Linked DNA regions of Arabidopsis thaliana. The protein of the gene in region 2 interacts with the protein of the main gene of each other region in a pairwise test. Each region holds a gene or a part of one and is shown on either strand. Other genes may lie near its edges. The genes, in order: AT3G12170, AT4G01090, PAB3 and AT2G21830.

Region 1 (4,827 bases), on a different chromosome or scaffold from region 2:
TTTATCGAATCGGAGGTTTGACTTTGAAGTCAAGATAAAGAATATGAATGCAAAGGTGAATCCTTTGTTCGAGATCGATGGAGAAATCTAAGAAGAATAAGAAGATAGGTAAGAGGGTATGGGAGAAGCGTGAAGAAAATTGGGAAACCGGAGCAAAACGATTGAAACGGTGGGCTGATGATGATATTATGTGATGCCACGCTGGCATTTCGTGGGGTCCATTTTTTGGGTTTGGTCTTTTTGTAGAGAATCGTTATCCATACATTTGACATTGACAGAATTTGAAGCCCATTGGTCTGAATTATAGTTGGAATCGGCTGAAAAGAAAAAGAAAAAAAAGTTGGAATATGTATTTTCCTGATAATGAAGGTTGGAATATGATGGGACCACTATTTATTTGGTTGTCCTGTAAATAAGTAATGAATACTCTACACATAAAAAAAAGTGTATGTTCATATTTTTTTGATTGATAATAATACACATATCAGCAGAATTATCATCTTTTTCTTGTGAAATCAACACAAGACACACGATCTCATAAAAGGTTATTTTTTTCTATAAAATGTGATGTAAAAAATGGGGGCTTCTTGTTTCACCCTCATACTCTTTCTCTAGTAAACCTTGGCATATTGTTTCGTTTCAAGAACAAATGGCCTAACACGAATAACAAAATATATAAAGCGGGACAAAGAAAAAACAACAAGAACAACCAAAAAATACAATCTTTCTCTCTTTCGCTAGTAGAATTACGATTTGCCGCAACATCCACCTCTTTTCCCACTCTCTTGCTCGCTCGGGATGATGATTCTAGTTCCTTTCAAGAGACTTGAATTACCATCGGCGTCATCATCATCAGCCGTTAGTGATTTCTTGCTGATTATTCGGTAGATCTCTGTTAAGATGGTCAAAAATGCTGTTTCAACATTGGTAGCTTCTAGAGCAGAGGTTTCCATGAAAAACAAGTTTTCTCTTTGTGCAAACTCTTGTGCGTCTTCTGTTGGCACTGCTCTTAGGCTTCCAAGATCACATTTGTTCCCAATTAGCATAATCACTATGTTCTTGTCCGCATGTCCTCGTAACTCTTCCAGCCATTTAGCCATGTGATCGAATGATTGACGTTTGGTCATGTCGTAGACCAACATTGCCCCAACTGCTCCACGGTAGTATGCACTTGTCACCGCCCTATATCTGCCAAAGAAACACTTTGATAAACGTAAGAGCCTTAAACAAAGTGATGATCAAACATCACATATTCATGTTGCCCATTTGCCCATCAAAGATCCCAACCCATTGTTCATACATATCTACTTATATTGGAACATGTGTTGCCTAATTCAATGGCATCTCTAGCTGCTAAGACATAAATCAATCAAATGGATGAATTGTGAACGTTCTCTGATATATACCAAATGATATTCATGGTGTCATTACTTCTAATGAATGAAGAAGAAAAAAGCAAAACCTTTCTTGGCCAGCAGTATCCCAAATCTGAGCTTTGACGGTTTTGTTATCAATGACGAGCGTTTTAGTCTGGAATTCAACACCAATGGTGGCTTTAGAATCGACGCTAAACTCATTCCTAGCGAACCGAGCAAGAAGCTGAGTTTTGCCAACGGCAGAATCACCGATCAACACGACTTTGAAGACGTAATCGATCTTTTGGTTATAATCTCCATACAAATTAGACATCTCTCTTCTTCTTCTTATTATTATTATTTAAAAACACAACAACAAAGGAGAATGAATATACACAAATCTCCAGATCACGAATACGAAAGGCGAAGAGTCTCGGATTCGTATTGCACGCGTGAAACAGTCGAATCTACCATCAGACGAACACAGAAACTCAGATCACAATGAATGGTGGTTAGGCAGAGAAAGCGAAAAATTATTCAGAGATTGAGAGAAAGAGAGGATTAACGGCCGATGCGGGACCCTTTACTCTAGGAATTATTCTACTGTGCCATAGATCACCCTTAACCCAATTCATCCTGGCCGTTTACTTTATTCGTACCTTATTCACCGTTCAATTTCCTAATGGCACGGTACGTAAACATAACCGGCGCAATTTGAACGAATTAATTCAAAATCGATATCATACCAAATCAAGTTCGGTTTAACTACTATACCAGATTAGGTTATAACCTTGTTAAAATAGGCGGCAATGGAAATTTATTGGCGCCATAAATTTTCTGAGAAGCAAAATTTTAACTCCATTACTTATCTCTGGTGTGTACTTTCTCGGCGAAGGAGTTACACGAGAACGTTGAAAATGGAGAATGATGGAAGATCCAATGAGAAAAATCTGTACGAGGTATCTCAACATTCTCTTTATCCGATGGTTCCAATTAGGGTTTCCGTTTCTGGATTTGGGACTTGTTCCAGTTATGCTTCGAAATTTAAGATTGTTTTGTCGATTTTCATGTGCTGATTCGTCTGATGATGTTTTTGTGATAATCTGAATATCATTGTTTATTGTTGGGATTGTAAGAGGCTAAGAGACTTTACTTGGTTAAGATCCATGGTTTGATCAATTTGTACCGTAGCTGTTGCAATTCTTAGTTGTTTTCTTGGTGGTTAGTAGAATTCAGTGAAACGAACTAATGAATGCGTCTTTGTTGAAGGTTCTTGGTGTTGAAGCAACAGCATCTCCACAAGAGATAAGGAAAGCGTATCATAAGTTAGCATTGAGGCTTCATCCTGATAAAAACAAGGATGATGAGGTTTAACTGAGGGGTTTTGGTTTCTTTACTTTTCTTAGTTTTTAGGGGTCTATTCAATTTTACATTGTAACCGGAATTCTTGTTTTTCTTATCCAATACAGGATGCTAAAGAGAAATTTCAGCAGTTGCAAAAGGTTATTTCGATTCTCGGTGATGAAGAGAAAAGAGCAGTCTATGATCAAACTGGCTCAGTTGATGATGCTGTAAGTTGAAAGAAAGTTTTCAACTTAAGTAAAGGTACTGGAGGATTTTCTTACAAACTGGTTATTTCCCTATCTCATTAGGATCTTTCGGGAGATGTGGTTGACAACTTGAGGGACTTCTTCAAGGCAATGTACAAGAAGGTAAGAATCATGATTCACAATTGATTTCTTTTTGGACTTTGCAACACAACTGTTTCGTTCTGTATACTGATCATTTGTGCTATAGGTCACCGAGGAAGATATTGAAGAGTTTGAGGCCAACTATAGGGGTTCTGAATCCGAGAAGAATGATTTGATTGAGCTATATAACAAGTTTAAGGGTAAAATGAGCAGGTAATTAATCATCCCCTTGTTTTCATTATTGTCAAGTTTGTGAGTTGAAGTTTGTATAAACATTATTGGTACTATATCTCTTTCAGGCTTTTCTGCTCAATGCTTTGCTCGAACCCCAAGCTTGATTCGCACCGTTTCAAAGATATTATCGATGAGGCCATTGCAGCGGGTAGGCTTCTCTTTCTTGCAATAATTCTTTTGTCTATAAAACCTATCCAGGTTCTGATTTGTTTGTGCATACCATTGTTTAACATCTGCAGGAGAAGTGAAATCAACAAAAGCTTACAAGAAATGGGCAAAGGAGATTGCAGAAATGGAACCTCCCACGAATCCCCAGAAGATGAGACGGAAGTAAGCTTCTATTTGTCTACCTTTTCCACCCCAATAAATGCCCTCTGAAGTTATCTTTGTTGTGACCTGTTTCAAAATTTCTATACTTTCAGAGCAGCAAAGGCTGCAGATAAAGATTTATACGCTGTAATGTCCCAGCGGGGAGATGAGAGGAAAGAGAAGTTCGATTCAATGTTCTCTTCACTTGTCTCTAGGTATGGTAGCAATGCTGACTCTGAGCCAAACGAAGAAGAGTTCGAAGCTGCTCAGAGAAAAGTTGAAAGCCGGAGATCATCGAAGAAGTCTAGAAAAAAATAAAGATTATGTAGTAGTTTGTGAAATTTAGGTTTCGTGTTTGTAATGGAGACCAATGTTTTTAGCGTAAATTAGATCACATTTGTTGCTTCTTAGAAGTTGAAGACTAATGTGTATTTGCTAGGAAACAATGTGTATTTTTACTTTTTGTCTTTTTTCCAACAACAAAAAAAGCAGTGAGTTTACCAGTTCAAAAGCTCAGGGTCCCACGTGTATGTCGTCTGGATCTTCAGAAGAAGAGAAATTCTATCACCGGGTCCTAGGACTTCTCCACCTGCAAAAACAATCAGGTCGAGTAATGCATCATAATCAGTTGATAACTAAACAAGCCTTTGTTACAATGTAACATATAAACGTACGGTATCAACCAAGTTTCTCGGGAAGAGGAGAGTGGACGGATCCTTTGGCTTGTATAGGCCTAAATAAAGAACTAACAAATTTCAAGTGAACTTATTTAAAAGAACCAAATAATTATTCTAAAAGAGAAGAAAAAAATGAAATTATTTACTTATATGGCTTGTATAGGCCTAAATGGCATACAGTTAATAAATTTTGTTAGTTCTTTATTAATTAACACCAAGCATCTTTTTTTTTTGTTGAAAAAGAAAAAGGAATTTAACAAAAAGGATATTCACAAAAAGAAACTAGAGAAGTAATAATAAAAAGGAAAGAAGAATCTAATGTCCAATAGAACCCCAAAGTAAAGTACACCAATTGTTGAGAGAAGAAGAGTTCTTTTTTTTTCAAAGGTATTTAAGGAGAAGAGTCGCAGTCGCAAAAAGACGAATCGTAATTGTTGAAGAGAGCAAATATGGCTTGGGATTTGTTTTTATGGATAGTCTCCTTCTTCGTTAGCTTGGCTCTCGTCGCTTCCGTCTTCTACCAGGTAATCTATCTACTTTGTTTGTCCCCTTTTACTTTCC
Region 2 (6,321 bases):
TCATGTTTTGGAGGGTCCATACTCAAAACAACAAATCAATATCGAGTTTTTATGTTTAGTTATATACACTATCATTACTTTCAAAACAAAGAAAAAAGCCTTTAACAAAAAAACAAGTGGGTGTGTATAAAAGTAGATGTCGGACCACAGTTGATAAGAATCAAATACCGAAAGCCTTATGGCTATTATTCTATGTGATAATTATGTAGATCACACATAAAAAAAGTTCACCAGCTCATTACTCATACTCACTTACATGATCAAGTTCAAATTATTAAAATGTAAAAGTCTTCATGTAAACAAATCGGGCCGTTCTAAGCCCATATAATGAAGCCTGTTATGCACCTAAACAAATAGGGCCCTTTTATCAATTAGGGAAAGAATTACGGGCCTAAACAGCTCAGAAGTTCTGTCAATTAAACTCTGTGTTTCCTTAGTCTAATAACTAACCGATAAAATAGGTAGTAAAAAAGTCAACGATAGTTATCCCAAAAATGCAATGTTAATATTTTTGTCAAATCTGATTGGTGTTGGAAAGTGGACTATCTATAAATCCATCTTTAAATGATAGACAGAGACACAGAGTAGAAGACTTTACAGCTGTACGTAGCTTTTTGTATAAACCACAAAAATAGTCAGAAGGCGACCTACACTATGTGATCATATAACACTCCCCATATATCTTTCAAGTCTTCGTTTACGAGGTTAATATTTTTCAACGTTTAGGATCCAGGTTTCTTTTAGATTCAAGTTGTGAATTAGAAAACAAACAAAAGAAGAAGTTTTGAGAGCACGTCTTCTAACATGGAAGCATTAAACTTGACGTATTTTTATGGACTATATTAATCGATATGCTGGGAGGATGATGAAAAAATAAAGAATTTATATATAAATATTAGTTATTTAGGTAAGTATGAAAGATAAATAATATATAAACCAAAAAATTTTTTTTAAAAAAATTAATTACAAAAATGCTATTGAATAAAAATAATTGTAATATTCGGATGATAAGTATATAATTATTTGTTTAATGTTTTAAAAACTATGATATCGCGATAAGTTTATAAATTATTTGTTAAAACATATTTATCGATTTAAAATTGTAAATCAGAATTTTTTATTTATGTATATTCAGCACAATAAAAGGAAATTAGACTTTTTTATATAATTAACATGATAATAATTATAACTACATGATATATAGAATGATAACATGCTAATATATTATATAACAGAATAATATTTATATGAAAACGTTAAGATATTCGATACATGAATAATGTTTACTGTAACGGATAATTTATACATAATATTTACTAATAATTGTTAACGAGGTTAACCTGATGATAACAATGAAAATATTTAGTAACAAAACAATATATGAGACTTTAATTAAAAAAAAGAAAAATACAGAAGAATAATAAAGTAACTTCATTAGTTCTTTTACTGTTGAAATAGTCCACAATTCCTACACCTAATTTTTCAGTCTTCTGAGCATATAAAGTGATATTTTCCTATTTTTATTTACTTTTTAATTGTATTATAATAATATTTGGGTATTTTTGGTTATTATAATAATATCTGAAAATATTATTGATATTTTTGGTTATTTTTATATTTTTACTAAAACAACCGAACCGATCCGAATCCGAACCAAAATCGAACCAAGTTTTTAGAATATCTGAATGGTTCTCAACCTCTTCATATCCGAATAGATTTGATATCCAAAAAAGAACCAAACAGATAGGGATACCCGAATGACCAGACCTAGTATTATTGATATAAAAAAGGTTGCTCAATGTATAATTTCATTTGACTAGCTGGTCTGTTTTCGTACAAACACACTCACAAAAGTACGAAAATAGGAAGTCGTCTTAGTTTTAGAAAATAACTATTGCTGCTTATTGGCATATATTGAAAAATCAAATACTACTAGTAATCGTAAGTTCTAAATTTGAATGTTTTTTTCCCGAGTAATTGAATTGTTCTTAGTAATTAAGTTCACAAATTTGGAAAATTGCGATATCTGAGAACGTATTAATTTACCTGTCGGTAAACAGTCACACTCATGTTTCTAGATTTCGTATATTTTAGTAATAATTTGGTTAGTCTCCTTATCTGCGAGTCAACGAGACCCGGTCCGCTCAACCGTACTACAGTCTAAATTCTAGTTTCACGCGCTTACTTACATTACATACGCGCTCATCTCTTCTTTACTCAAAAGTTTTAAAAAACGAATATCAAATCAACGCTAACAAAGTTTGATTTTTTGCTTCCATCTTCTTCCCCTCCTTAAGTTTTCAAATCTATTCATCAAATTTTCTTTTGTCTTTCCCTTAAGATTCCCGGGAAAGCCAAGGAAAAACGCTAGAAGAAAATTAACATAATAATGTTAATTGTTGCTTAAACCTTCCAGCTCAAGTTTGGTAGTAAGTAAGCAGACATTTAATCCCCCAAGAAGCAATTGAAGAAGACTTTTAATTCTTCTGAATTTTCTTTCCAAAAACCCCTTTTTAGAAAATTGGTTGCATCATAGAGATTGGTTCATTTATTCCCACCGGAGAAGATCATCAAATTCGTCTTCTCACCTATATCGCCGACGACATTCTTCACGGTTCGTTTGATTTCTACCTGTTGGTTCTTCGTTTTATCTGAATTCAATCGGAGATATATGTTTTTGAGTTCGAATTTGATAAAAAATCGAAACTTTTTTGATTTGAATCGCAGTTGGAAAAAAACAAAGCAAAACCCTAGAAATAGTGGCTGATGAGGTCGCGAGGCGATGTCTCTGAAGCAGAAGGTACGAGATCAGATGCTGGTTCTTCAAGAAGCGAAGAAGAAACGAGTCTGAAGGAGAAACACTCAAATTCGCGAGCTGGGTCTCAAAGATCTGGAAAAAGCTTGAGAAATGACGAGCCTAATTACGGATCAGATTCTTCATCTAAGAACACAAGCAGCAGCAACAACCCTATTGAGTATACAGAGCATGAACGAGCTGAGCTTTTAAGAAGGTTAGATTCTATCAAAGATCATCTACTTCGCGGTGGTGGTGGTGGTAATAATGTAGTTGATAAACCTAAAGAACCAGATCAGAATCAGCCTTTCCTTAGACCAGTTCATCTTCATGGTCATGCTAATCATAATCCTGGTCCTTCTTATTACCATCAGTATCCAGAACCTATTCAATACCCTGGACCGGTTCATGGAATGTATCCTCAAGCTTATCAAGATCCTTATGGGTACCAAAGAAGACCACCTCCAGTTCCTAATCCAAACTGGTATCCTCCTGGTCATTACCCTAATCAGATGGCTCGTCAGTATCCTGGAGGTCAATATGTTGAACTTGGTCCTGATATAGTTGAGCCACATTCTTACTATCCAGCTACTCCTGGTAGGTACGGTGACCTGCCTCCGTATAGCCCGGTTTCGTCTCACCATCGTGAAGAGAAACTCGCTACACAGTACAGTGATATGCCTCCGTATAGCCCGGTTTCGTCTCACCATCGTGGCGAGAAACTCACGACACCGTATAGTCCACGTGTTAATAACGGTTCGAGTTTTCCTTCTTCGATGGGCACTCCAGGTCCTCGAGGTGGTTATGCAAGGTGGCCGAGTGAACATGATTCTGAAATGGGCGGTGCTTTTGCTCGTGGGTATGTTAAGAAAGCTGTATCGGATACTGGTGTTCGACGTTGTCATCCTCTTGCTGGTGGTGCTCCTTTTATAGCTTGTCATAGTTGCTTTGAGCTGCTTTACTTGCCTAAGAAGAAGCTTTTGTCTCAGGAAAGGTTACATAAGCTGCAGTGCGGTGCTTGTTCTGAAGTTATTAGTTTCACAATCGTTGATAGGAAACTCGTTTTCTCTTCTGGTAATGAGGAAACAAAACCGGTCTCTCTAGAGGTTGAAGATAGAAACACAACAAACACAGTAGTGATAGAGGAGGAAGTCTCTTCTGTTGATTTCAACAGCTCAGGTAGAGATATTCCACGTAAGGATGAAGAAGAACCAGTGCAAGAACTGAGAAATCATCAGGATACTATTACTACGCAAAGCGTCCGCTCTGAATCTCAACACTCAGATGATGAAGAAAGATCGAGCAATTCTAGTGAACAACAACAGAAGGAGGTCAAATCTGTTCGTCGGCGAGGTAAAGGGTCAAAAGCACCTGAACCCGCTGCTCCTGATAATGCCAGTCTCCTTGAACTTTTTGAGTATTCTAATGTAAACAGAGCTGCACTCGCTTATGGAATGGCGCAGTTAGGTTATGAAAAGCCAGATAAGCAAAAGTCTTTCATGACACAGGACTCGCTGAAACCAGAATCAGTAGCTACAGAGACAGAGGTTTCTTACAATGGATACTCTAACACCGAGATCTCAGAAGATTCAAGGTACTCAAACAGAAAGGGTAGTGAGTACGGTTCGACAGAGATCACAACGAGGTCCTCTACTGATCAAAACGAAGACCAGATGAAGTCATTAGAGGTTTGGGTTAATGGACATCTTATACCAGAAGATCTTGTTAGCAGTGCTGAGAAATTAGCTGGACCAATCCAAGCTGGAAAGTATTGGTACTTCCATGAACTTCAGCATCCACTGTTTCTCTCTTGTTTTTGTTTTTCCCTTTACTCAGTTTCTGATACATGTCTCTGATTCAGGTATGATTACCGAGCTGGGTTCTGGGGAGTGATGGGCAAACCGTGTCTCGGTATAATACCTGTAAGTACCTTCACATTGTTCTCTCAAGTTGATTATTGGAATGGTGTCATCAAATTGATGAAGAAATGGTTGACTTACTTGTTGTTGTTGCAGCCATTTATTGAAGAGTTTAGCCATCCAATGCTGGATAACTGCGCTGCAGGAAACACAGACGTGTTTGTGAATGGAAGAGAGCTTCACAAGAGAGATTTCGAGTTACTTGTGGGTCGTGGTCTGCCTAGAGACAAGAACCGTTCTTACATTGTTGATATATCAGGAAGAATCCTTGATCAAGATTCAGGAGAAGAACTTCACAGCCTTGGCAAATTAGCCCCAACGTAAGCAGATTCACACAAATGATTTTTATTCTTTTGAGATTTTGAGATCACCTAAGATTCTAAAGTTTTAGTGTGTTAAACTTGAAACAGGATTGAGAAAGTGAAGCATGGATTTGGTATGAGAGTTCCAAGATCATTAGCTTCATGAAAACTCCCCCTAGTAACAACTACACAACCAAAATATGATTCTGCTTCTTGTTTCCATCTTCATATTATTTATTTGTTAAACACAACTGTAAAGTGTTTTTTACATCTTGATTTTGATTTTTGGTATTCTTTTTAAAATATCTTTGGGGAAATGTCTGTATGTTTTTTATTGCGACCAGAACCGGTTTAGGGGTTATAGACTGTATACAAACCGGGTTCTCTCGGTACAAGGTTTGTGCTTTGTATTATTTCCATTTTTTTATGGAATGATATTAGTTTGCTCTTAATGACTTTTTTTTTTATCTCTTTTATTGCTCTTTTGTAAGTTGTAACAGAAGCTTCATCGATAACATGGTTTACTCCTCCTAATTCCTTATTATCTCTGGTTTAACTAAATCGTTTATTTAAACCGGTTTTGGTTTGTAGGTTTCTTTCATGTCAGCAACAATATATGTAGGTCATTCGACCATACTCAACAATTCAATTAAACAATGTTCTCCTAGCTGATCTTTCTTTCTTCATGATTAGCTTCTAGGCTTGATTTGCCCTTTCCTCGAGTTCTAGGTGAATTATGGATTGGGATTATCTATCTATCGGTTAGTTATCCGGTTTCATCTTTCTTTCCACTAAAATGTTCATATTGTCTGCTAATTCCTCTCTTGGCTGATGGACTAGTTTTTGCACGTTTCTGAAGTGGGTCCTTCCTAAAATACAAGACAACAGATTATAACTTACTCATGGGCCCAATATCAATATCAATATCAAACAAGAAAGAGAATCTGTTCTTAACAGGCCTCGTGGTCCGTTCGTTTAGTTTTCATGTTTCAATATTTCTTAGAAAAATACAAAATTAGAGTAAGAACAAAAAGATACTAACTAGTAGCGAGCATGAGAAAAACGAGTAAGCAGAAGTTGTCCACTAATAATAAAATTGTGAGGAATCAAGAAATTCTCAATACAAAAAAATTTTAGCAATGAAGAAATAAAATAAAATATTATTAGCAATAATTGGAGTCACTAGAATGTTTCATATCTCTTTATATACTAACACTAGTGTTAGTTCATTCACGCAAATGTTAAAAACCAATTCTACCATTGTTAAACTTATACCAAATATTTAAACTAGTTACCTGCATCATTC
Region 3 (6,295 bases), on a different chromosome or scaffold from region 2:
ATGTGTTTTACACACTACTGTAATATTTTGTTACTCCATCATTCAACATACCAATCATCATCATTTTTATATTTTAATTAAAAAGATTACATTTCACAACTTATATACAATTGAAAATAGAGAACATCTTAACAATATCCCTATAGTAAATTTTCTTTTAGTCAACTATTTAAAGATTTCAAAATGGTTTATTGTAATCCATGTGATCCGGTCAAAGAATCCAAAATAGTTTAATATCTCTATTTATAGTAGAAGAAAAATAACTAGCTACACAAAATATCGGAGAATGCATGATCACACATGTCAAGCATATTAGTGTATCCCTAGCTATACGAAGTAGATGTATTGTATGACCACATATCTGAACTATACGACGTCATGTAGTTAACACCACAGACATGCAATTCCGGTACACTAATAAATTTACTCCGTTGAAGACCAGTGTTGACCGGCATAGTTGAGGATACTATAGTATAATTGGCATGGGTAAATTAACTAAAAATCATCAATCCATTTATCATAATCCAAATTCTGGTCAAAAGAATCTAAAAATAGTTTCATAAAAATAGTTTCATGTTTCTGTTTACAGTAATAAAATTGATATCTTAGTCATGACCAAATCAATAGCCGCAAGTTATGCTCCCAAAAATTAGCTGTTCATCTTTTACTCCAATCAAAAACATAAAAAAAAAAAAACAATTACAATTTCTATTCTAAGTAAATGTTAAATAAATTTATTAAATTTTACCTCCTAAGACTTCAGTGGTTACACTATTAGAAAATAATTAGATTTGTGTGCCTAAAAGCCTTAGAAGCATGCATTTTTTATGAATAAATAAATTTAGTATTGATTTCGGTATAGAAAATGAAATTAGCAAATTCTTGATATGTGTAACTAAAATAAAATCTTATGTAAAAAACAGAAGCGATAAAGGCAAACATAATTCAAAACTGCGACCAATTCTTATTATCAAAGATTTATGAAACACCAATTAGCTATTAATAGTAAAAATCAAGTGACACTTTCCCTATACTAAATTGTTAATTGTTCGGATTTATAGGCTTAGCTAGTTAAGTATAAATATTAATCCACACTCTTCACACTAATTCAATTTTATCCCTAATAAAAAACTTGAATCTATATATGTGTATCAATATATGTGTATGATATTTAAAGGGGTTTGTAGTCTATTGAAATAAATAAAAGATTCCATTATCCATGATTTTTAATAAGTTACTTCGTAGCATTACTAAACCTATTTACATCATCAACAATACAACTGATTTAATTTCAACTAACTAAAAAATTACCAATTTATTTATCATAAATTCATAATCTAATATCTGGTCAAAAGAATCTAAAAATAGTTTCATGTGTCTATTTATAGTAATAAGATTGATATCTTAGTAATGACCAAATCAATAGCCGCAAATTTTGCTCTGAAAAATTAGTTGTTCGTCTTTACTCTAATCAAAAACATAAATAAAAAATCACAATTTTTATCCAAAGTAAATGTTAAATCAATTTATTAAATTTTAGCTCTTAAGACCTCATTAGTTATATTATTAGAAATTAATTAGATTTGTGTGCTTATAAGCCTTAGAAGCATGCATTTTTTTATGAATAAATAAATTTAATGTTGCTTTCGATATAGAAAACAAAATTAGCACATGCTCGATAAGTGTAACTAAAATAAAACCTCATGTAATAAAAAAAGAAATAAAGGCAAACATAATTTAAAACTGCGACCAATTCTTATTATCAAAGATTCATGAAATATTCAATTAGCTATTAATAGTAAAATCAAGTGACATTTTATTTATACTAAATTGTTAATTGCTCGGTTTTATAGGCTTAGCTAGTTATGTATAAATATGCATCCACACTCATCACACTAATTCAATTTTATCCCTCTTTACTCTTCTTGATAATCGGAGGAAACTAAAAAAGGAAAAAAAAAAATCTAAATAAGAATAAAATTCCTAAAAAATAAATAAATCAAAAATTGTGAAGAAACAAATCCTCGAGTCATGTTGTTTACAGAAAATCTCTTTCTCACTTAAAACCCTTACAGAAACAAATCATCGAATCTTTGTTTTTTTAGAATCAGTGATTTTGTTTCCTTTCACGAGACGAAAATAACAAATCGTCTTGTAAAAAGTAAACTCATAATCATGGCGGCGGCGGTTGCCACAGGTGTTGCACCGGCGACAATGGTTGATCAAGTTCCCAGTCCGACGGCGCAGACTTCGGTTCAGGTTCCGGTTTCAATACCTCTTCCATCCCCGGTCGTGGTAGCCGATCAAACCCACCCGAACTCGTCGCTCTATGCCGGTGATCTGGACCCGAAAGTTACTGAAGCACATCTATTTGATTTGTTCAAACATGTTGCTAATGTCGTCTCGGTAAGAGTTTGCCGCGATCAGAATCGTCGATCTTTGGGATATGCCTACATCAATTTCAGTAACCCTAACGATGGTAAATACAATTCTATATCGCTTCAATTGCAAGTTAGGGTTCATGTCTTGCAAAACAAAATATATATATTATCATGAATTGCATTACAATAAGAAAAAGTGTTTTGATTTGATTTTTTTCAATCTCAATTTTTTATTAGACATGGTAATTAATTTTGATCAGTATCATGTTCCTGTGCGAATCATCTTTTTTTTTGTCTAGAAATTAACATATAATCAATATTCTATATTGTAGTTCATCTCTACTATACCATGATTCTGCTACATTGATATGTTTCGTTTGAATATCAAAGCTACAACATTTATTTTAGTAGTTGATGCATCAGTCTCTTATATTATGATTTTTCTTAATTAGTTCAATTTAATACGTGAAATTTGTTTGAAATTGTTCTTTCAATCTCATTAATTGTAGAAACTATAGGTATTTGTGCATTTATAAATATCATAGATGCTGGTTTTCTATAATGAATTGAGATCTTATTTGCCTATGTTTATATGTTGATTTATGTTTGCAGCTTACCGTGCAATGGAGGCCTTGAACTACACTCCCCTCTTTGATAGGCCCATTCGGATCATGCTTTCGAACCGTGACCCAAGCACGCGATTGAGCGGCAAAGGAAACATTTTCATCAAAAACCTTGACGCTTCAATCGACAACAAGGCCTTGTTCGAGACGTTTTCAAGTTTTGGAACCATCCTCTCATGCAAAGTTGCAATGGACGTGACTGGCCGGTCCAAGGGGTATGGATTTGTCCAGTTCGAGAAGGAGGAATCGGCTCAAGCCGCAATTGACAAGCTAAACGGAATGTTAATGAACGACAAGCAAGTTTTTGTGGGACACTTCATCAGACGTCAAGAGCGTGCTCGTGATGAAAACACCCCTACACCGCGTTTCACTAACGTGTACGTCAAGAATCTCCCCAAGGAGATTGGTGAGGACGAGCTACGAAAAACGTTTGGTAAATTTGGAGTGATATCGAGCGCAGTTGTAATGAGGGACCAGAGCGGAAACTCGAGGTGTTTCGGGTTTGTGAATTTTGAGTGCACTGAAGCAGCGGCTTCGGCGGTTGAGAAGATGAATGGAATTAGCTTAGGGGATGATGTGTTGTACGTTGGGAGGGCGCAAAAGAAGTCTGAGAGAGAGGAAGAGCTAAGAAGGAAGTTTGAGCAAGAGAGGATAAACCGGTTTGAGAAATCTCAAGGAGCGAACCTGTATTTGAAGAATCTTGATGATAGTGTTGATGATGAGAAACTCAAGGAGATGTTCTCTGAGTATGGAAATGTGACATCCTCCAAGGTAATAATTAATTAAAAACTCATACATATATTCATAAATATATATGTTGTTGATGTTACGTTGTCTTTGACACAATCCTTTAACTAATGTAGGTTATGCTTAATCCACAAGGAATGAGCAGAGGATTTGGTTTTGTTGCTTATTCCAATCCTGAAGAAGCTTTAAGAGCCGTGAGTTACTAAAACTATAATATATTCTTCTTTTATTGTTCGTCTCTTTTGATATCTGAGAGATTGTTACATATGAGACAATGCAGCTGAGTGAAATGAATGGGAAGATGATCGGAAGAAAACCTCTATACATAGCTCTTGCGCAGCGCAAAGAAGATAGACGAGCACACTTACAGGTTTTTTAAAAACTCTTTTAACATATTTAAAAGAAATGGGTTTGTTAAAGCTATATGTGTGACTAAGTACATAAGTTTGCAATTTTTTCAGGCGTTGTTTTCACAGATTAGAGCACCAGGGCCAATGTCAGGGTTCCATCACCCGCCAGGTGGACCAATGCCCGGTCCACCTCAACACATGTACGTAGGCCAAAACGGAGCAAGTATGGTCCCGTCCCAGCCCATTGGATATGGATTCCAGCCTCAGTTCATGCCCGGGATGCGTCCAGGTTCTGGCCCGGGCAACTTCATCGTGCCTTATCCGCTTCAAAGACAACCTCAGACCGGTCCTCGTATGGGATTCAGGCGTGGTGCTACTAACGTGCAACAACACATCCAACAACAACAAGTATGTTACTAAACTGAGTCTGTTTATAGTTTTCAACAATCATGAAACTGAGTTGGATTGAATATTGACAGCTTATGCACCGTAACCCGTCCCCGGGAATGAGATATATGAACGGTGCGAGTAACGGGAGGAACGGAATGGATTCGAGTGTTCCTCAAGGAATCTTACCTCCTATCATTCCTTTGCCAATAGATGCTTCTTCGATCTCTCACCAGAAAGCTCCTCTCCTTCCAATCTCTAAGCTCACTTCTTCCTTAGCTTCTGCTAGTCCAGCTGATCGCACTCGGGTTTGCCTCTTTTCCTTCCATCTCAGCTAAACATTTCTTTGTTTTGCGTTTTCTTTTGCATTTGGTGTATAACTTTTGAATAATAAACCCTTAACTCTAAACATATGTTTTCAATTGTTGATGCAAAACCAAACGCAAAGAGAGGTCAGTCACATTTGCATTTTATCTTACAAAATATTTCCTGAATAACTGAAAAATGTTTTGGTGAATTTTGTTTCTTAACATCAAATGTTTGAAAGAATTATGGTCTTATAACAAATAAATAAAAGTTAAAGTCACATAAATATATAGTTGATAGAGATTGGCATATCTATATATTTATATGTTTACTGATTTTTATTTTTAAAAAATTGGTTGGGAACAGATGCTTGGAGAACAACTGTACCCACTTGTGGAAAGGCACGAACCACTTCACGTGGCTAAAGTCACAGGAATGTTGTTGGAGATGGATCAAGCTGAGATCTTGCACCTGATGGAGTCACCAGAGGCACTCAAGTCTAAAGTATCCGAGGCTTTGGATGTTCTCAGGCTATCTGTTGATCCAACTGATCATGATCTTGGTTTCTCTACCACCGACTGAAATTTGCAATGCGTTTGCTCAACTCTGTTTTCTTCTTTTAGTTTTGATATCGACTCCTTTTCTTTTCTTTTTTGGGTTTTAGTCTTCCTTTACTATTTTAGCAGTTTTTTTTTGTTTACTTAGTTTATGGTTTTTGTGTCTTTAACTTAGTTTATGGTGTTTTTCTTTTTCTTTGGACAATGATGATTTCTTAATAATCTGAGTAGACTTCTTCTTCCGAATCCCCAAATAATCCATCTCTACTTGAAATTTAAGTTGTTCGGTATTCATGGTCAGCAACAAGGGACAATCCTTCTATTATGGTAGCAGCCTTCTATTATGAATTTATTCGAATGTGTCTACTCATAATTTGTGGTTTGTATTTCAACTTGTAGTTGATATCAATTATATGCACACAGACTTTTTCTTTTTGAGGGGTTGGAAGCAAGCGATTCAATGATTGTACCACTCATTTCATAATAGTGTTTGATATGACGTTAATTTGAATGGTTTATGTTGATCGAAAATACTCTCAGTCACAACAAGAATCTAATTCGATTAATTTATTTGAAAAACATATGTTGGCATGGTACATGAACCAGCTCGTTCATATGAAAATATTTTAAAAAGTCAACATCAGTGCTAATTTCAAATTGACCATACATTAGCACACAAGAAGACTAACAAAAAAAATGAGTGAATAAAGAAGAGAGTGAGTGGGGTTGATACATGTCACCGTCCAAAATGTGTCTGACCCTTCTCATTGGAGCTACAAGAGCCGACCCTTTGCCTCATCATTTGTTGACTTCACTCTCCTTTTACATATTTAAATTATAACTTGCTCATATTTCCATTCATTGTGTTCGGTTCTAGATTGTTCCATCCACTTTCTTTTTTCTCTTACTTTGAAATTTAGAAATATATGAATACTTGACAAATA
Region 4 (5,307 bases), on a different chromosome or scaffold from region 2:
CTTAAGGTTTATATGGATCCTAACATATCGGTGAGTTAACACAAACTACGGATATTGACTTCTTGAGTTGTTGTTTCTAATGGCTTCTGATGCAAATTGTGTTGTGTTGGTTAACAAAATTGGGGACCAGGTTCATGAGAAGGAGTTTCTACTGAAAGACTTGAAAGTGGAAAATTTAGTAGGAAGAGACACAAGTGTAGGTGAGGCCTGTTCGAAGCGGATATACAGAGTGCTTATGTCTTTAGATGGAACCATTAAGACTGATGACGTCGAAAATGGTGCTGCTTCCTTCACACTTCCTCCATCTGACTTAATTTAGAACTAGAGAGAACATCAAATAGGTTCTTAACTTTCTATGTCAAACAAAACAGAAGAATGATTGTGTCTGAGATTTTTTTTTGTATATGCATGCAAAGTTCATTATGTTGTTTGAAGTCTTTAATGTGTGTAGTCCTGACTCGTTTTCTAAAGAGTAAAGATAATGATATATTTTCTGGCAAGTGGTTTTGAGTGCTTGACTTGTAGAGTTGCAATTCTGTTTTCTTCTTTTCATTACAATTCTGTTTTCTTCTTTTCTTTTCTTATTGATGATGAAAAGCTACTCATACTCATAATCAACAGGAAAAGCCTTCGCCGTTGTACTTGAAAGTTTTGTATTCTTCTAGCAAAGTTACCATGAGATCAATAGATCAAGAAACCTCTGGAACCAACAACTTGGAAAACAAACTACAGTATGACTTTTACATAATCAATCACGCTCATGAAAACTAAAAACACTTTTTCTCGTTTTGGCTAATTGCTTCAGGTAGGTTAATGATATATGGCATATGCATGTTATGAAACCAGTCCTCATGAGTGCTCTTGATAAATATCCATATTGCAAGATATGTGGAGGAAACATACTTGGTAACCCATGGAAATGTGAGACCTGCCGCTTCGAGACACATCAGTACTGTGTGGAGTTGGGGCGACCATCAAGACATCGATTTCATCAGAACCATCCTTTGACACTGTTGACAAAGTATCCTTCACAGGAAAAGATGAAATGTGACATTTGCAGAGAGAATATATACGATTTCAATCTCTTCTGCCGTATATGTACTTTTGTTATCCACATCAACTGTGCCTTGAAAAGTAAACATGTTCTTGAAGCTTTAAGGCAGAAATTCACTGGAACTTGGAGTTTTTGTTTGGGAAAGCTGTGTCATGTATGACGTGTGAAGAGATATATCATCCTGTGTATTGAGAGCTACCATACTGGTTCTGTCTCAGGATTCAACACATGTTATTTCCTTGTGTTGTTATAAGTTTAGGTGTTTTACTCTTGGTTGGTTTTGTGAAGGTCCTATTTGATCTTGCTTCTCTGTTTTTTCATACACAGATCCTATTGGTTTTTTAAGAGGACACAGTTTGATTTGGTTCATAATAAAGAGTCTGAATGTTAGGTTTCATTGTTTTCTCATAAAAGACTTTTATTGATTAGTTTTCTACTCAAAACATGTTTTTAATATTACATGACTATGACAGGACCGTATCTGAACATATTTTACAGAGACCTAGCCGGTACCGGTAACACCAAGATCCTGCTTCTTGTCGTCTTTACCAGCACCAAAGACAGGTCCGCCAAGACCAGCAGCATCAGAGACCTTGTCTTGAAGCTTGTCAACTTGAATCCCACCTTCGTCTTCCTTTGACCTTATATCAAGCTTCGTCTTGTTCTGTCCTCCTTCCACTGACTCGTACGTTGTCGCCGTTCTTGAATCCATCGGCTCTGCTCCTTGTGCTCCCGACATCGTTGATGATACCGATCCTTCTTAACTCATTTTCCCCTTTTGTCCACAAAACTTATTTATGCCCTCAAGCCATGGTCTTAAAACCTGCCACCTTGCCAAGACGTGGCAGTTCTTCAGAAGTCTAGACCTATCTTGTTGGTCACGTGTCGTAAGTTAGCCAAAAGAAGTCGTCTTTGACCCTTATCATCTGTTGGATTTATGCTTCTTGATATGTTATCGAACATGCTTATGAATAAAGAACTGTCTAGTGAAAGGTACTTCACACTGAGAAGACTCTTCATCAATTTTTAAGTTTCATATTCAATAACAATTTTAAGTATCATTATTACTTCAATTACCATAATGATACCAAAAAAAAAAAAATGGGCTCAATAGAATCCAATTAAGCATGGTCAGTAAACGAAATAAAAAATATTAAATTTTCCAACCACACCACGTTGAGAAACAATTATTGAGCCACTAATTTATTACTCTCTCTCTCTCTGTCGACCTCACAATTAGTTATGCTTTTGGGATTTTGAATCATGAAGGTTCTTTGATCAAGATTACTGTGTTATCTAATGGTACTCTTAGATCAAGATTCCAATCTTGCTTCTTCCCCATGGGAAAACTCGAGCATTTCTCCCACTCATGCCCTTTGACCTCGCCGGAGATTGTAGCTGAAGGCATCTGCAACATTTGCTTCCAAGACCAAGTTGTTGAATACGCATGTAAGCCTTGCAATTTTGATATATGTAAGACTTGCTCCAAGCTGCCGCAAAAGGTGTCACATGGTTTTCACTCAGATCATCCTCTTGAGTTTTCTCTATTCCAATATGATCGAAAACCTGGTTACATTGTCTGCTCTTGTTGTGGGAACATGTCTTCTTGCTCATTCTATGAATGTAAAGAATGTGAGATCTATCTTGATCTCGGTTGTGCACTACTGAAGAACGTTTTCACTGGTTGGGACGTTAGAGAAATGCTTCATTACAGTCATGAACATTTGCTTCGAAGGTGTAAACCAGGACAAGATGCTAGAGGCTCTTGCCTGCTTTGTGAGCTCCCTCTTTCTCCCTCTTCTATATGTTACGGTTGTGTTTACTGTTACTCGTTTCTCCACGAGCGCTGTCTCGATCTTCCGACAGAGATTCGACATCCCGTGCATCTGGAACACCCTCTCAGACGCCTTGATTACATACGAAGTGGTGGTCGAACATTTTGCGGTGCGTGTAGAGAGAAGATTGACAGTGTCCCCTTTGGCTGCCTAGAATGTGGTTTTTACATTCACATGAGGTGTGCAGATTCGTTTTTGCGCTGTCTGATGCATGAATCTCATGAGCATAAATTGTTTTATGTATCTTCGAATGCTAAAGAACATTTTGGAAGAAACAATTGTTGCCAAATATGCTTGGGAGCTGTAGTGAGCTCTCTCGATTCTTACTACCACTGCATCGAATGTGAATTGGAGTTTCATTTCGAATGCCTTGGGATTTCCAAGACCATTTCTAAGAGATCTTGTCACATTCATCCACTTGTTTGTAAAAGAGTACGTGAAGAGGATGATTCTTTGGAGTACTGTGGCGTTTGCGAGACATTGATTCATGCCGGACATCATGTTTATTCGTGCGAAGAATGTGATTTTCTTGGTCACATTGAATGCATTCTACGCGAGGTAATCAATATCGTTTTTGTGTTTTTTTGTTTCTTAATAATGATGCAATGCTGATGATCTATATCTACAAACTACAGAAAGAGCCATCACCATTGTACTTGAAGGATCTGTATTCTTGTGTTGAAGACGTCAAAAGAGCAACAAACCAAGAAGACTATGAAACCAACAAAGTTATGGTATGGCTTTATAATTATCTATCAGTGGAAGAAAAGTATGAACATCATTTTAAGCCAGCCTTTTGTCTCAAACGTGTAAGGTATATGTTGCAGGTTCATGATATCAACCATAATCATGTGGTGACATCGATTGATATGTGTGAGCTTGAAGGCAAAGAACATTGTCACATATGTGAAAAAGAAATACTTGGTAATCCATGGAAATGCGAGACTTGCAACTTTGTGACACATAACTTCTGTGTGGAGCTAGGGAAACCATCAAGACATCGGTTTCATTGGAACCATCTTTTGACACTCATGCCAAAACCAGTTGCTACGGATATGACGAGTTGTAAAAGCTGCAGAGAGGATATAAAAGGGTTCAATCTATTTTGTCGAATATGCAATTTTATTATCCACGTCAGTTGCGCCATGAAAGGTAAACGTTTTCTTGGGATGACAGGACCGAAAGTCGTTGGAACTTGGAGAGGACGTTGTTTGGGAGGCAAGCATAGAATGGTCCAAGTTATGTTCCCGAGGTCATATCAAAAAGTTTGTATTATTTGTCATGAGAGGGTGCTTGGGAAGGCTGTGTCATGTATGGAGTGTGAAACGATTTATCATCTTCGGTGTATTGACCGACATCGTATCAAAGACCGTGATTCTTCGTAGTTAGGTTGTTCCTCCTCTGAAACTAAGTTCTGCAACTTCTTGTTATGTTATATACCTCTAAAATTTTGTCGGTTAGTAAATCATGTTTGTAATATGTTTATTTGCTCTGTTTATTTCTTGTTCTGTTTTCTTTGTTTTTGGCACACTATGTATTTTCAATCCTCTGTTTTGGATTCCATTATCGTTTTTCCAGTTCCAATGGTGTTTTTCTTATGTAATCTTGGTGACATAATACACAAAGTTCAGTGTTTCCATTGGAAAAGCCAGCGGCCCCTGCAGGTGCAGGAGTTGTTATGAATTGTAACATTTGCATGAATGATATAGAAGGGTTCAATCTCTTCTGTCGCCTATGCAATTTTATCACCCATACTATACTAGTCATAGGTCACCAATATATTGTCTGCTCTGGTTGTGGGAATATGTATTCTTGCTCATTTTACGAACGTGAGGTCTATCTTGATCTTGGTTGTGCCTACTGAAGAACATTATCACAAGTTGTTAGAGAAATGCTTCAGTACAGTCATGAACATTTGCTTCGAAGGTGTAGACCAGGACAAGACGCTAGAGGCTCTTGCCTGCTTTGTGAGCTCCCTTTGTCTCCCTCTTATACATGCTACGGTTGTGTTTCCTGTTACTTGTTTCTCCACGAGCGTTGCATTGATCTTCCAACAGAGAGTCAACATCGCGTGCATCCGAAACACCCTCTTAGAGGCCTTGATTACATATGAAGTGGTGGTCGAACATTTTGTGGTGCGTGTAGGGACAAGATTGAAAGTGTCCCGTTTGGTTGTCTAGAATGCGGTTTTTACATTCACATGAGGTGTGCAGATTCTTTATTGCGCAGTCTGATGCAATGAAACGGAAAGTTTCAGGAATATTTCCAACCAACTAACAAACAAGTCTTCCGCTGTTTCATGACAAAGCTCCTTCCCTCGAAAACTCGTCATGGGAGGCAAATTAAGGCTTCTCAGGAATCCTTGCATCCAATTCGAGGCAATTCTACGTTTCTGTAGTACAAAAAGAGAGAATGATT

The links.
Region 1: the proteins of AT4G01090 (region 2) and AT3G12170 interact in a two-hybrid assay, tested with the Arabidopsis thaliana proteins (one large-scale study listed by BioGRID).
Region 3: the proteins of AT4G01090 (region 2) and PAB3 interact in a two-hybrid assay, tested with the Arabidopsis thaliana proteins (one large-scale study listed by BioGRID).
Region 4: the proteins of AT4G01090 (region 2) and AT2G21830 interact in a two-hybrid assay, tested with the Arabidopsis thaliana proteins (one large-scale study listed by BioGRID).

Annotation. Positions count from the first base shown.
Region 1 is NC_003074.8:3,878,749-3,883,575, forward strand, and holds AT3G12170 (Chaperone DnaJ-domain superfamily protein), read left to right. Parts: upstream 1-2,159; 5' UTR 2,160-2,164; coding exon 2,165-2,314; intron 2,315-2,624; coding exon 2,625-2,723; intron 2,724-2,824; coding exon 2,825-2,926; intron 2,927-3,007; coding exon 3,008-3,067; intron 3,068-3,152; coding exon 3,153-3,259; intron 3,260-3,345; coding exon 3,346-3,428; intron 3,429-3,519; coding exon 3,520-3,610; intron 3,611-3,702; coding exon 3,703-3,907; 3' UTR 3,908-4,100; downstream 4,101-4,827. Other genes in the region: RABA4D (RAB GTPase homolog A4D), read right to left, coding at 747-1,188, 1,463-1,689; AT3G12180 (Cornichon family protein), read left to right, coding at 4,716-4,790.
Region 2 is NC_003075.7:469,694-476,014, reverse strand, and holds AT4G01090 (hypothetical protein (DUF3133)), read left to right. Parts: upstream 1-2,135; 5' UTR 2,136-2,614; intron 2,615-2,727; 5' UTR 2,728-2,766; coding exon 2,767-4,568; intron 4,569-4,655; coding exon 4,656-4,716; intron 4,717-4,809; coding exon 4,810-5,033; intron 5,034-5,123; coding exon 5,124-5,181; 3' UTR 5,182-5,509; downstream 5,510-6,321.
Region 3 is NC_003070.9:8,053,424-8,059,718, forward strand, and holds PAB3 (poly(A) binding protein 3), read left to right. Parts: upstream 1-1,901; 5' UTR 1,902-2,175; coding exon 2,176-2,479; intron 2,480-2,993; coding exon 2,994-3,775; intron 3,776-3,867; coding exon 3,868-3,945; intron 3,946-4,031; coding exon 4,032-4,121; intron 4,122-4,212; coding exon 4,213-4,509; intron 4,510-4,580; coding exon 4,581-4,796; intron 4,797-5,160; coding exon 5,161-5,376; 3' UTR 5,377-5,637; downstream 5,638-6,295. UniProt on the Arabidopsis thaliana protein: Binds the poly(A) tail of mRNA. Appears to be an important mediator of the multiple roles of the poly(A) tail in mRNA biogenesis, stability and translation. In the cytoplasm, affects both translation and mRNA decay.
Region 4 is NC_003071.7:9,301,427-9,306,733, forward strand, and holds AT2G21830 (Cysteine/Histidine-rich C1 domain family protein), read left to right. Parts: upstream 1-2,286; 5' UTR 2,287-2,394; coding exon 2,395-3,447; intron 3,448-3,524; coding exon 3,525-3,623; intron 3,624-3,716; coding exon 3,717-4,274; 3' UTR 4,275-4,599; downstream 4,600-5,307. Other genes in the region: EME1A (essential meiotic endonuclease 1A), read left to right, coding at 1-30, 131-319; AT2G21810 (Cysteine/Histidine-rich C1 domain family protein), read left to right, coding at 828-1,214; AT2G21820 (seed maturation protein), read right to left, coding at 1,557-1,793.